2 linked regions of the Struthio camelus genome follow. The protein of the gene in region 2 interacts with the protein of the main gene of each other region in a pairwise test. Links are inferred from orthologs where the notes say so. Each region holds a gene or a part of one and is shown on either strand. Other genes may lie near its edges.

The links.
Region 1: the proteins of CEP126 (region 2) and HMOX2 interact in a two-hybrid assay, tested with the Homo sapiens proteins (2 studies listed by BioGRID and IntAct). The link is inferred for Struthio camelus from reciprocal best matches to the Homo sapiens genes CEP126 and HMOX2.

What each region holds. Positions count from the first base shown.
Region 1 is NC_090956.1:18,690,262-18,697,869, forward strand, and holds the start of HMOX2 (heme oxygenase 2), read left to right. Parts: upstream 1-4,657; 5' UTR 4,658-4,662; exon of another isoform or gene 4,663-5,669; intron 5,670-7,608. Other genes in the region: zinc finger protein 436, read left to right, coding at 3,471-4,657.
Region 2 is NC_090942.1:208,919,222-208,926,372, reverse strand, and holds the start of CEP126 (centrosomal protein of 126 kDa), read left to right. Parts: upstream 1-4,134; 5' UTR 4,135-4,221; coding exon 4,222-4,295; intron 4,296-5,317; coding exon 5,318-5,443; intron 5,444-7,151. Other genes in the region: ANGPTL5 (angiopoietin-related protein 5), read right to left, coding at 1,310-1,408. UniProt on the Homo sapiens protein: Participates in cytokinesis. Necessary for microtubules and mitotic spindle organization. Involved in primary cilium formation.

The sequences.
Region 1 (7,608 bases), on a different chromosome or scaffold from region 2:
TAACTTCACTAGCTCCATCTACTCAGTAAGTTTGACAAACAGGTCAACAGCTTCAGGCCAGCCTGTCAGAGATGTCCTCTTCTTGTCCTGTCTTGGGATATTACCTTTCTCTTTTGCTCCAGGCCTGGACGGGAGTAAGTGCAGACCAATGGAAATGCCCCCATGGTGAATAGCAAAGTTCCAGTTTCTGTTCCTCTCAAGGGGCCATTCTAATGAAAACTAGCTGAGGGAAGAACTGGAATCACTACCACACCAAACTGCTGAGAAAGGTATCTCAGGAGTTCACTGTGAAATCGTGTCATGGTGTTTTCTTATACCGATTAGAAAGAGGAAGATTAAATACATACATATGTCATGTATGGGTGGGTGGGAATTCTAGACTCTCCTTCCTTTATTGCATACTTAAGGTTCAGGAGTGACCTTCCTCTTTGAAGGCATGAACTTCCTTATTGCAACTCTGCCAGACCGCTGGAACCGCCTGTGGTTTGTACATCAATCTCTCACTATTGGTATATGTTATCTGTTTATTTTACAAGATAGAGTTTTCAGAGAATCAGGAGGTAGCAAATGAATCTTTATACAAAGCATACTTGTCTACCCCGCTAAGGGGAAAAAAATCTGGAGGTCTCCATGCCTATGGCTTTAGTCCTCAAGCTGTTCCATACTTTTGGTTAAAACATAGCCAACAGCAACTCACCCTTCACCCCTGAAAGTCCATATAGTCTATAGAGATCATCTGGAAATCTATTAGTCTGATTGACCGGTCTTAAACTTGGATGTGATGCCTCTCTCCAGAGGTGTGTGTTGCCATTTCTACACCCCACGTACATCCCTCTGACATCTATTTACCCTTGCCCGACAGCAAAAAGGGTGCATGCTTCACAGGTCCTGTTTTACCAGTGATTTCATGCATAAGCCCTCAGTAAGCCTGCAACAAGCTACGTTTCTCCACTGACAGCAAAGCCCACAGCAATATTGAGGGTACATGCTTTCAAACTGGTTAGGATTGCTCACCAAACCACACTTCAGCAGTGTGCTAGAAGGAGTTGCTGCTCTGTGTAAATACCCTGGAAGCGTCTTGCAAGCGTCTTGTCTTGGCAAAGCTTTCTACTGACCTAGCATTGACTGTACAATGTAGATTCATAAAGTTTATGCTTCTGTGAGACTTCATGTGAATAAGAGGACAGGTAATTTGTTCATTTCCTGTGCCCTAGGAAGCAGTGATAACTGTATAGCTAGTATTACTTCCACTGACATGCACTTTTTTTCATGTTTCACGTTTATCAGTGTCTAATGTGGAACCAGCCACAGAGAGTCTCCAGTGGGCTTGGCCCTTGAACCCATATTTCACCAACAGTGCCTTTCGCAATGGATTTGTTCTGCACTGATGGAAAGTTACTTTTCTTCTGCTCAAAGATGGGCATAAGCCTCTCCAGGTGGCCTGCATGTCTCATGCCTTAGGGCCAATGTCTTCTCTGTGCGTTTTCTCTCCCCCTCTCCCCCTCTCCCCCTCTCCCCCTCTCCCCCTCTCCCCCTCTCCCCCTCTCCCCCTCTCCCCCTCTCCCCCTCTCCCCCTCTCCCCCTCTCCCCCTCTCCCCCTCTCCCCCTCTCCCCCTCTCCCCCTCTCCCCCTCTCCCCCTCTAATACCTGCAGCACAAGTCAGAGCATAAAGGTTTCATCTGTTGTAATCCAAGTAACCTTCTGCTGAATGAGACAGTTCTCTATGGCCCTTCTCTGACTCTCAGCCCAACTTTTAGTAACACTTCCAGATATAGTATCCTGGAAGAGCAGCTTTTTTCCTTTCAAGCTCAAAACCTTTACTTCTAACGCTGTGGGAACTGCCTGGCTTTGTTCTGCTTGTTGAGCATGCTCTATACAATACAGTGAGTCTTTTGACAGAGCAGGAGATCCTCTGTGGGGAAGCCTACAAAAACAAGAAGAGAATGTTACAGAGCCCAGCATGATCTTGACCTTTAAAGGCTCCTCTCCCCCAAACCTGGGCAGGAGGCTAGTATTAAAACTTTCTAGACTTTCCACCAACTCTGTATGAATCCCGTTTGCTGAGATCTTGCTGTGTCTACACAGAGTATTCTCCTACCTCTGCCATTTCAAAAGTCCTAAGAAGGAGAGCCTTACACAGGTCGTTCCTCTTTAGAGGTGTTTTTAAGTTTTCCTCATCCTCTTACTTTCTAGATTACCAATGTTACTTGAGATGTCTGGGGACCATTTGAGTGGCACATGCTTCAAACAGTCCCTCCCTTCTTCCTTTCTCTGAGCAGACTTGAAAAGCTTTTTTCTCAAAGCTCATGAGCATGGGTCACCCAGTTCTCTTTGATCTCTTACCAAACAACAAATTTGCACGTAGTTCCTGATATCTAGCCCTCTCTATACAAAGGACTGGCTTTTTTCTGCACACTTCAAATATCCGTCTTCTTGCAGTGTGGAGGCCAAGCCAGTGCAAGGAGTTCTCACACCCTGAGCCAGGCAGCCTGATCAGGTGCAGGGGTGACAGCCACAGCCTGGTCAGTGGTCATCAGGATCTTCTGTCCATCTTTTAGATGGAGCACTGCTGCCCCCACATCAGGACTGGGCTTTGCACTGCTGAGTCCTCCCAGGGGGAGGAAGAGCTTTGTCTTATGTGACTTTCAGTGTAGTTCTTTGGGATGTCTGGTCTGTATTGAAGAAGACTTTGTACACCTCTAACATCTGCTTTAACTGAGAATCTGATTTGGCAAAGGAACAGAGGTGTCACATGCTGCTCTGCCCCACAAGCCATCCTTCCTTATGTACAGGCACTGCCTCGACAGTCTCTGTGAGTTATAAGCTTTGACCTTGTATGCGGAAGGCAGGATTCCTTATCTGGGATCATCTATGATGTCAAAAGGACCTAAAAGCAGAGCAGAATTGGCTGCTTTTCTGGCAGGCGCTCAAGACTGACTTCATGGCTTCGTGCAGTTTGTGGCAAAGTCAGTAACAATCTGGACTGACTGCTGTGGAGCAGGGGCTGTGCGTTGTTTGCTGTTTGTGTCCTTAGAGGGTAAAGCAGCAGCTATCTCCCCGCAACCCCTCCTGCAGTCCTAACTGTGCTGCTCAGGCTTGCTGGTGGTGACCTTCTGAATTTCTCTCTGTGGACTGTCTGTACTTCATTAGTCGTCAGGAAACAGTCTTCTAAATGTCGAAACGGGGATTCAGAGCTGAAATTTCACTGTGGTTTTGGTTTGACGAATTAATAAAATAAAGTTGATTCTAGTTAATTCTAGTAGACTCCAATTATTGCAAGGCATGCAGGGCTCCTTCCAGGGCTTGTTCCTATAACGCTGCAAAATACCCTGAGTAGGAGGGAAGTATCAGTAGACTGATAATAAGTATAAAAACTCCTGAACTTTCAGAATTTAGCCCCTTTTGATCTCCCCTGCACAAAATTTCCTTTTTTGCCTGTGACTCCTCTCTGGATTCTTGTTTTGTTGCAGCTGAGGATAGGATTGTGAGCAAGAAAGAGGAAAATCCCCACCAGGGCATTCCTCGGCCAGTGGATCCAGATTTACTATCGGGACTCTCCAAGGAGAACAGTTCCCAGAGTCCTGAACAGGACCCTGTTCACCCACGCAGGTCAGAAAGGGTTCAGAGACCTCCCCTGGGGAAGAGGCAAAGCAGAGCGACGCTACGTGGAAAAAGTTTCAGGAGGTTGCCAGACCCCAGCCAGCAGAGAAATCCTGCTGCGGGGAGGCTGACGATATGTGGGGACTGTGGGAAGAGCTTCCGGGTGAGCTCCAACCTGGTCCAGCACCGGAGAATCCACACTGGAGAGAAACCCTTTGGCTGCGCCGAGTGCGGGGAGAGCTTCCGGCAGCGATCGCATCTCATCCAGCACCAGAGAATCCACACGGGGGAGAGACCCTACGAGTGCTCCGAGTGCGGGAAGAGCTTCAGTATGAGCTCAAAGCTGATCCGGCACCAGATAACCCACACGGGGGAGAAGCCCTACAAGTGTGCCGAGTGTGGAAAGAGCTTCTCTGGGAACTCGCAGCTGGTCCAGCACCAGCGAGTGCACACGGGGGAGAAACCCTTTGAGTGCAGCGACTGTGGGAAGAGCTTCAGCGTGAGCTCGGCCCTGACACGACACCAGAGAATCCACACAGGGGAGAAACCCTATGAGTGCGCAGCATGTGGCAAGAGCTTCAGCCAGAGCTCTGAGCTCATGAAGCACCAGCGGGTGCACACAGGGGAGAAGCCGTACGAGTGCTCCGAGTGTGGGAAGAGCTTCACGGTGAGTTCTGCCCTCATCCAGCACCGGCGGTTCCACATGGGTGAGCGCCCCTATGGATGCACCGAGTGCGGAAAGAGCTTCACTGTGAGCTCCCACCTCATCCAGCACCGCCGCTTCCACACTGGGGAGCGCCCCTACGAATGCACTGAGTGTGGGAAGAGCTTCCTGTGGAGGTCGGCCCTGCTCCGGCACCGCAGAGTCCACACAGGGGAGCGGCCCTATGCCTGTGCCGACTGTGGGGATAGCTTTCGGCAGAGTGCCCACCTCATCCAGCACCGGCGGATCCACACTGGGGAGCGCCCCTACGCCTGCACCAATTGTGGGAAGGGCTTCACCGTGAGCTCTGCGCTCCTCCGGCACCAGCAGATCCACAGGGGAGAGGAGCCCTAGGAGGGGTGAGTGTGGGGAGCAGTTGTGTCCGATACCCTGTGCGCTTTCCTGGGAAAGTGAAGCCCAGGGTCTCTCTCCTTTCAGTCTAATAACCACCCTGCTTTTGGAGGGTGAAAGCAATTTCTTTTTAGGAGAATGAGTGCTAAAAGGTAGAGACGGAAGAAGAGGAGAGTCGGTGCAAGGAGCTGAATTGGGAGTCTGGGGAACAGTGTGTGACAGAGCAGAGGAAGGAGGTGGTGTTCAGAGGGATAGCTCCTGGGAGAGGGAGAGGAACAAAGCACTTTGAAAAGGCTGCAAGATGTTTGGTGGTATATTTAAGAGAAGGGAAGTATCTTGTCTTTTGTCTGTGCGCACAATGTTTCAGACAATTTACAGAGGGAACTAAATGGACCATCTGAGAGCGTGCAAAGCTCTAGTTAGCAAAATGAAAGCTCTCACGTTCCCTTCCTGCTACTGCTTTGTTTAGAGGCTCTGAATTACCTACTCCAGGCCGTGGTCTGTGCCTGTAGCACAGAGAAGCTGTAAGCCTGATGTGCCTCAACTCCTCCCTGCTATTTGCCCACCCGAGCTGTGTCCAACAGCACGCTCGGTCACAGCACGGCAGAGTCCTGCGTGGTGTGCTGCATTCACAGGACATCAGTCTGAGGCCTTAGCCCACCCCTCTGGGGAGCAGAGCCAGCAAACACTGGTGGCAATCGCTGCGCAAGTGTGTAGTACTTGATGCCCACCTTGGTAATGCCCAGAGGCCTCTGTGGGAACTGCATCTGCGCAGTTGCTGAATTTGTGCTACTCCTGCTCATTGGGTTTCTGCTTGGAGAAGCCAGCCTTTCTCTAGAAACCGTGTGGAAGGGCTTCCTGGCGTTACAGGTTTGAGGATCTTTTTTTCCCCCCCCCCAATGTGGGAATTGAATGTTCCTTCTGAAAATATGGGAGTAAGAACTGAATTGTATGTTAATGAGACTTAATTATTTCTAAAATGTCCAAGTGTCCAAATAAAACCTTTTAAAAAATAGCATTTTCCCCATTTTCCCAGCTGTTTTGCCACCACAAGCAGAATCTTGTATAGTTCTTGTCATTCAGCAGCAGTGCTTGACCTCTCTGTAGCCATTAGATGTTGATGCTTTCGAACACCAGCAACGGGGAGTAATCATGAACATTGCCTTATACAGGGTGCTATGTGGTACAGAGCAGGGTTTTCCCTAGCTCAGTACTGCTCGAACCCCTGAGCCTTGCAGTGAGGGTTTGCCAGGAGCCCTATACAGCGTAGTTTGTGGCTCTGCTCCCTGTGCAATATGCCCTCACCCCTCCTCGCAAGAGACTCCTATATTGATGGAGGAAGTTGCATGATACCGGATGGTGGGTTTGAGCTGCAGCATCACTCTCCTCACACACAGATATCTAATTTATTCTTAGGAAGACACCACAGTAGCCAGCTCCCTGCAGTTTAGTACTTTCCATGGTATCTGGCTGGCTGGTGAACTGCTGTCCAGTCTAGAAACCTTCCAGCACCAGCTGAGACCAAGAGATCTGCCAGGCTTGGCCTGGGGAGCAGTGTCGGTACTAGAGCGCCTGGATGCAAGGGTCACCACAGAGGAGGCGGCAGTGAGCATTTCGGAGGGTCTCACTCCTGACCCTGGAGGATAAGAGTCCACGAGGGATGTAGCAGCATGCAGACGTCCCAGGGCCGGACAGCGGTTTTACTGCTTTAAAAGCAGCTTATAGAAAATGTGGGGGATGCACAGGGGTCATGATGGAGGGACAAAACAAACCCAGCTTCTCCCCAGCCACTGAACAGGGGCCAGGCTCACCCAGCTACTGCACAGCCACTCCGCAGAGGTGGGAGCGTAAAACCCAAGCAATGTTTGTGTCTGTGTGCTGACTGTGACGGCACGTTGTGCTCTCTTTGAATACTGGTCTGACGCTGAAGATGGCAAATGAAAGGAGCTAGTGCCTGGTTTGTCAAGTCCAACACCTGCTAACGAGGAAGAACGTGACAATAACGACGACAGTGAATTTTGTTTTGATGGGCCAGGTTGACGTGTTGGGGAAGCTCCCATCTGAAAGGCTGGACGTGCAAATGCTTCCACCTGCTATTCTGCCTTTTCATGCTGATCCTGTTTTACATGAGGAATTCACTGAATGATTTATTCTTTCTCTCTAAAATAGAGCAGCTAGAGAAGCTCACTAATGGCCTGGCCGGGGGCTGTCCAACTTTTGGTTTTCACGTGATGCCCTAGTTGTGTTCATGGTTTTATTTCTCTGAAATATGTTCATTTCCTACTGTATTTTTGCCTAAACCATCTCTCCCTGGTGCTCTGCTGACCCCTTTTCTCAGCATATCTTCTCCAAGTTTCTGGCTCTGTAGCTAAAGCCACTGAACCTCAGCCCCTAGACTCTCACTGTAAAATCACCCACTTGCCTTTGTGCAGGCTGTCGCGTATGTGGTGTTACTGGCCAGAATAGCTGCCTGGTCTGGTAGGATCTGAAGATCCACTACTGTGGTGTTTCATAAAACCCTCTGCCCTGCACACGCTGCATGAATCAGAAAGCAGAGCATGGACAACTTTTTCCTACCTCCAGACTTACTAGTGGCTCCTGTGCCCAGAGCTGAAGCCAGACCGTAGAGCAATTTTACATTTCTTGTGGAGCAAGTTAATGTCACGCGGGGGTAGAGCAAGCACTGCCAGGGAGCCGCTCAGAGCCTTGCCTCTCCTGCTGCTTTCACACAGTAAAACAATGAAATAGCCCCAGACTGACTGGGGAATTGAGATGCTTTCTCAGCTCTGCAAAAACACCACAGGCAGACTAAAGGGTTATACAGGCAATATATACAAGCAATGACAGAAAAATGATTCAGTGGTGCCTGAGGCCGCTGGATAGACAGGCAGGAAATCACAAAACTCCATTCAGCAGGGAAGGGGGAAACATTAAGCCTGAATCCTAACTCAGAA
Region 2 (7,151 bases):
AAGTTATTTTCACTGGAAAGGAGCAGGCTTTTGCATTTACCACATATTATCAAAACAGTTCCACTGTAAATATTTGCACCTGTTATTAAGCTATGCACACAAGTCCTCCCAAGCAGATTTGCCGACAAACCGAACATTTGAAAAATATCTTAAAGGCTTTTGTAGAGGAAAGAACAAAGGGACATTATTCAGAGGGATACCACCAGGTGAAACGCTAATAATAAAAACAATGGCATAAGCAGTTTCAAACTGCTACATCTCTAAATGTTATTTTAAAATAATATTTGCATATCTTAATGTTTTTTTTCTTCCACGGTGCCATGTGACAAACCTGTGTAAGAAATAAGGGAATGTCCCTGACTCATCACATAAACAAATGCTAAAAGTAATTCCTGAAATATGTGTCATCACAGAAAGCATTATGAAACATATTTTGATGTGAGTCTCTGTGCTTTAATTGCATGATCTTAGCACTGTACACTGTTTGCACACAGTATTTTGAAATGTAAATAGGACCCTTGAAAACATACAGATCTTCAAAAAAAGAAAACTTATTTAGACTCGATTGCATCTTTAACATACTTGTTCTCATTTCCTGCTTCAGATTTCTCTTTCTGGTATTGGCACTACACTGGTACAGCACTGAACAGTTCTTTCCTGATTTTTGCTTTTAAAAAGTGAAAGTAAAAATTACAGAAAAATGTTAACAAACAGATTTTACAAAAAATTGTCTGAATTATTAATTTAATTGCATCCTGTTTCTCAAATAAATGCTAGAGAATTTAAAGAGTATGTTTCTCCAAGTTTGAAATAAGTACAAAATAAAGGAAGGAAATTTCTGTAAGAGTTATAAATAAATCATTTGAAACTTATAAATAGATCGCTTTATCACAGCTACTCACCAGATGTTCAATTAAATACTGTCAAGCAAATATTTTAAATCAACATTTATTTTGTTAAGGAGCAGATATGAAACAGACAATTAAATCTGACCGCAGCAATACAAATAAAAACCGTGAAACTGCCAAAGACAACAGAGTTGCTCTGCATTTACGCTGATGCAAGTGAGATAAAAATCTGGCCCTACCAGCTGAGCTGTGAATGAAAGACATTAAGACAAAAACGTTCTTCTCCTTATACACAGAATTGCTACAATCTCAATGCAGCTATATGAAAATACCTGATTCTTCTATATTTTCATATCTACCCCGAATAAAGCAACCTACATTTTAAACACACCTGTCACTGTTCTCAGAAACTATTCAGTTACCTTCATTATCTTAGCTAACAATATAATTGAAAATCTTACCTTGGAGGAACAAGGTTTGACATTACTTATCACAGTCTCTCCCCAGCTGAAGAAAAAAATGCTGAGACAAACAAATGAAGTTACCCGAAAGGGGATCATCTTTTACTTGAAGAAATGCAAACGCTTTGACGGGTTTTGAATTTCTGTGGAAAGAACTGCACACTCCGAAGCCCTGAGCTAACTATTTGGGAATGTGTACAGCACAAAGAGCAGCCAACACACCACTTCTTTAATGCCTGGGTTTAATAAAATGCATTCCACTAGATTTTATATACTGCATTGCTTTTTACCTGAGAGAAGTTACTGCTTATTATCTTTATATGACTCACACGAGCGTATAAGTATTTTTATTGTGATAAGACTGTGGCAGATCTTGTTAAATGCTATTTTTGAGCATTGGTATATATGTATGTTTGTACTGAATCTGGGCAAGTCTGGGCTACTTGAAAGGAAAAAGTGTTAATCACTGTTTTCATCTTTTTGCAAAGGTTTTTGTAACTAAAATGAAGCTGTTTACACTTGTCTGGTGGTAATGCACTAGATCCAGCTGTGGGGCAATTTCAGAATATGCCTTAAAAGCAAATTCCTTACAGAAAACTGAAAAATATTACTTTAAAATAATAGTTTGTGTTATGTTGAAGATTGTTTACACATGGGACAAAAAAAATCTTTTTTTAATCTAATGTTTTCTTTGGAAATGAATATCAAAAAGGTATGGAGCACCTGCAGCTGGTTTCCTCATGAGTGGAGCACATTCAGCTGCTGGTGAAATTACTAACAACTTTGTTTTTTTGATATCTTACAAAATCCAATTTTTAATTTGTTCTAACGTACTTCATAGCATGTTATATTTTTCCAAAATAAGAAACACGAGAATGTAACTAGTGCACCGACTGATGCTCTTGTAAAAAGATGTAGTCTATGATCCAAAAATACAGTCTCTGACAAGGAGGTAAGAAAGTGAAAAGATTTCATGGCTGCCCATATATGACATTAAGGAGGAAATAACAGTTTTTATTCTTCTTTTTATACACAGAACTAAGAAAAGGAGCCAAATGTTAAAAAGTAGCACTAAAAAAGATCAGAACTTTGACTGAACTTCTTATCTCTCCTCACCCCATGCAGTGGCCTTCAGTTAACCTGAAGCTTGGAGGAAAGTAAGATATGAAGTAAAGGGCTAAAGCAGATTAATCCCCCCTGGACCAAAAGGAAAGAAAACGTGTTTCTGCAGCAGCATAGTTATGTTCCAGCCTTAAGATTTGTAATCATGTCAAAATCTGTCCCATAAAGATTTAGGAACTGATCTTCATCCTTCACTGGAATATCAGTCTGTAGCCCATATTAAAATTTATGAAACTTCTTTGAAGTCAGTTGCCAGAGTAAGACCTTCTGTTTTGTAACGGCATGAGATCAGGCTGCTTCCTGTCCCAGAATAATCATACAGTTATAGAATATATGGTCCTCAGCTAGCCACCTTCTCATCCCACAAACTGAAAGATCTAAGATCTTTCACCAGGAGAAGACAGTTAATAAATCTAAAAGAGAGTTATGAAGAAGTAAAAAAGTTAAAAAAAAAAGACTAGAAGATATGTAAAGACTATTTTTAATCCTAAACTTCAGAAGGTGGGAGTTGATGCTGCACACCATCAAAACTTGCAGAAAGTCTAAAGAAGTCCCAGTCCTGCCAGGCTGGAGATGACTATGATCTTTCCAGGTGTGACGTGGGCTCAAACTCCACAGTAGTTTCGCAGCTCCACTACAGTCCTGTCTGGGTGGATCAGGTCTTGATCCTGAGAAAGCCTTCAACCGCATCCTAAATGAAGCAGTGCAAAGTGGGTCTTAAAAAGTTTACGTAGGTTGAAAAGAACAGGAAAAGTACCACGTGGAGGAAATAGCAGCGACTAGGCTTCTACCTGCGACACTTAATTCAATTGGTTGGAAAGGAGAATTTGGGGCTGGTGTTCTGAACTGGAGATGAAAGGCTTCCATTTCAGGGTTTTCCTCTCAACTATAAAACTGGGATGCTATAAACATTAAGCATGTTCGGTAATCTGAGCCTCGTATAAAATGGTAATAGTAACACCTACCTCACAAGCTGCATTAAAAATATTTGTTGGGGGGCTGTGAAAAAAGCGTTTTACAAGTGTAGAATACTATTTTTACCCTTCTAGTCAAAGACATAGAACAGCTGCACTCTTTGAAAAAGAGAGGAATTGGTGCAAACTCAAATAGAACAGCCAAGAAACGTCTCGCCAGGAAATCGCCAAGGCATTTAGCCTTGTGCTGACAACTCATCCCAGGCATGGCAATATCCCAGGACAACACACCCTGCTTTGCCTGAAAACAAAAATGCAGTGTTTCATTCTTTCAGAGCAAATTACTTTTTTGCTTTGCGTGAGTTTTTTAACTCATTTTCACACACATAGTTTAATTTTTTTATTGCTATTTCTGCACCCCGTTTAAAAAAAAAAAAAAACCTTATGTTGTGAATTCCAAGCCACAGCCTCAAGTAACAGATCTAAGACGCGTCCACACGGAGCTCCGCACACCCACAAACGGCAGCGGGGCCAGGAAGGGGTTTCATTTGTCCTGCAAAACTACTTAGAAATGTGTTTACTACGATATCAGTTAAAAACACAACAAAATAAAGCAAATCCTGCTCTTTGTGAACGGAATGCAGGACGGGGGACGTGGCGGGAGGCGGCGCGGCGCGGCGCCTCGCCGCTGCCGCTCTGCAGGCCGCTGTGGCGACACCGCCCCGACAGGGCGCGAGCCGCCCTGAGGCCCCGCCCCTCCGCCTAGGCCCCGCCCCCGCGCGTTGCCAAGGCAGCGGCGTCCCTGGGTCCCGAGATGGCGGCGCGGGCGGGCCGCGCTCGGCCCTGACCAGCGGGGCCCCGGCCCCGCGCCGCTGAATGGAGCCTGGCGGGAAGGGCCGAAACCTCCCTGGCGGCCGCCGGGACTTCGCGGTTCGCAGTGGGGCCTCCGCGTATCCTTCCGCGTACGCGGGCGGGCAGCGTGGGGCACGGCCGCCCCGCGGAGGGGGCAGGCCGCGCGGGGGATGGCGAGCTCTGTGGGGTGCCCCGTGGGGGGCAGGGGCGTGACAGAATCAGTTGAAAACGTTGAACCTGATGATCTCTCTCACCCTGACGCTCGTAAACCAAGGAGGCGGAGCGCCGCTGTCGGGGTGGTGGCTGGTGAAACAGAAATTCTGTCTGTCAGGTATTGCTTCGGTGATGACTTGAAGGAGAGCTCGTTGTACGTTATTATCTTTTAGACTACCACAGAAAAGTTGAGTGACAGTCCTCTTAGCATTTTTTTTTATTTTTCTTCTTGAAGATACTGCCAGTTGGAAAGCATATTTTCCATCCTAATTCCAGAATCCCTATTTTCTTACTTGGATGTGAGTAATGATTTAAGTGATACTGATAAAAGTTCTAAGCTCTGCCTGTACTTACAGTAAGGAGAGCTGTTTTATCTAGTGGTATGAATGCATTTCAGCTAATCCCTTAGAACTGGGGAGGGCTCTGTATGCAGACAGACTTTCCCTGTGATAAATGTGTCCGTATGTCACAGATTTAGATAATAATATGCTCTAGAGGTCCCTGCTTGGGCAGGGAGGTTGGGCTAGATGATCTCCAGAGGTCCCTTCCAACCTAAACGATTCTGTGATAACAGAAAGATGTATCATCAAATAAACCAAAGAAAGTGAGATTTCATCAGCTGATATCATAAATGTTGCATGCAAAGCCTCTGGTGTTTGTTAAAGTCACTGTAAATAGTAAGATGCAATTAAACTTGTTCTGGATGAACAAGAAGTAAAGTACTACCATAGTATATATTTATGGGACCAGCTGTTTTATAATTAGTTGAAAAGCATAGTGACATTTGGTATCTCATGATTAAAGGTTGCCCTTTCCCAAAGAGGTACATAATAAATCCTCAGTGACATTATACCTTTTTCTGAGATGTTTGATACAGATGTTTTCATTATCCTTAGCATGATACTAGGGATAGAGCTTTAAAGTTTCATTGTGAACGGGATTTAGAAGAAGAACGTCAGGCACTGAAAGAAGATCAAAAAACACATCGGAGGAGGGCACAAAAATTTTCCATAGAGACAAATAGAAGAAGGAAGTAAGTAAATAAGGTTCTTTTGGCAGGAGACTGTAAAGAATGGAGTCAAAGCTTTGAGACAGCTGAATATATTTCTACTGTTTGCATGTTCAGATAGTCTGTTAAATAGTGTCACTGTTTTGTTCTGAAAGAGTCTAGGCCTTAAAGTTTCACTAATCTAATTTCTTGCTATAGAACATACAAAAAGCACAATATTCAGAGTTACTGAATTACTTCTTGGAAACTTCCTGTAGGCACCCTTTTATTGTTTAGAATAAAAGTAAGCAGTGCTTTCATTTTGTGCCTCTGACCTGCATTTCTAGTATTTTCTTCAATTTTTGTATTAGCTTCAGTGAGTGTATAATAATGCAGATACACCATAAGAATAAGCGGGCAGGAAGTCTCCCGTTACCATTGTCTACTGAAGTGTATGCACTTTTAGTTGTGTGACTCTCCTATGTGGTGAGCCTTTGTACACCCACTTCCCAATAAACTCAAAATTAAGGCTTTCTAGTACCAAAATATATTTGTAATAAAGTTTTATTTTAAAGGAAGCTTTGAATGCTCTGCCTTTCTACATACATGATAAATGCAAAGCGATGAAATACTCTATGACAAATGGATCAAATAAACTACATCCTGAGACATTTTGGTGAAGTGCGGTAAACAGTGTAACGGGCAGGGAGGGATCTTCCCAGGCACTCAGAAGATACTGTCACATAGACCTAGAAACTAGGCTGTGTGTGTAGCGGAGACAGAAGGGTTCCCCTCTGAGACAGTTCAGAGCGAACCCGCAGCCTCAAAGCTGTTTCCTCTGCCTTGTGTTGACTCTGAAATGCTCGTCCACTGCAGTTCCATGTCAGATGATTTCTGTTACACAATGTTTACAGTTGAAATATATTGATAACTCAGAACAGAAGCAATAGATATTGTTTATACAGCCCTTATAGCTTGACAATGGCTTGATACAGTGTGCTGTCAGCAAATATTTTAAAATATAAAGAAAAATGGAGGAGGAAGTATAATCACCTGGGACTGATTAAAGACAGTGTGTGACCTGCAGCTTTTGCAGATAGTAATAAGCTGAGTCTTGGCTGAAAGATAAAATATCTTAGTTCTCTGAAATGGTGCTGCTGTAACACCACGCACCTGAAATGGATGCTGTTTATCATATTACTGGTCTTGAAATACTATACTCCAATGTAAAAGCAAACACTAGCCAGTCTGCATATTTTTGCTGGACTAGTATAATCAAAACTAATACTCACGGATATATAAATACATTTCCACATGAATTTCATTGTAGCCTTAGGAAACACAGTATAAATCTAAGTTACGCAGGTGAGCCAGTTAAAATTTTAGGTGTGGTAATCATAAAATGAAATTGTTTCCATTTGTGATGATTGAGAATGACATAATAGCATAACTACAAGCATAATAAGCAGTTTAGATGGAAGTGTGTCATGATGAGTCTCCCCCTAATAACTGAAAATGAGTTGTCTAAAGTTAGAAAGATAGTAAGTGTATACAGTGTTAATAACTTGTGAAACAAAATTCAAAATTAAGGTTCACTGCATATATAAAAGAAAGCAATTTGGAAATAAAAAGTTGATTGATACTGAATATTTTTTCCCAGACAATTATGTAGATAGGAGGTGATTGATCTCCTAATGGAACAGCCATCAAGTCATGCCTCAGATCTGGGCATGAGCCAAGATCCATTATGTTT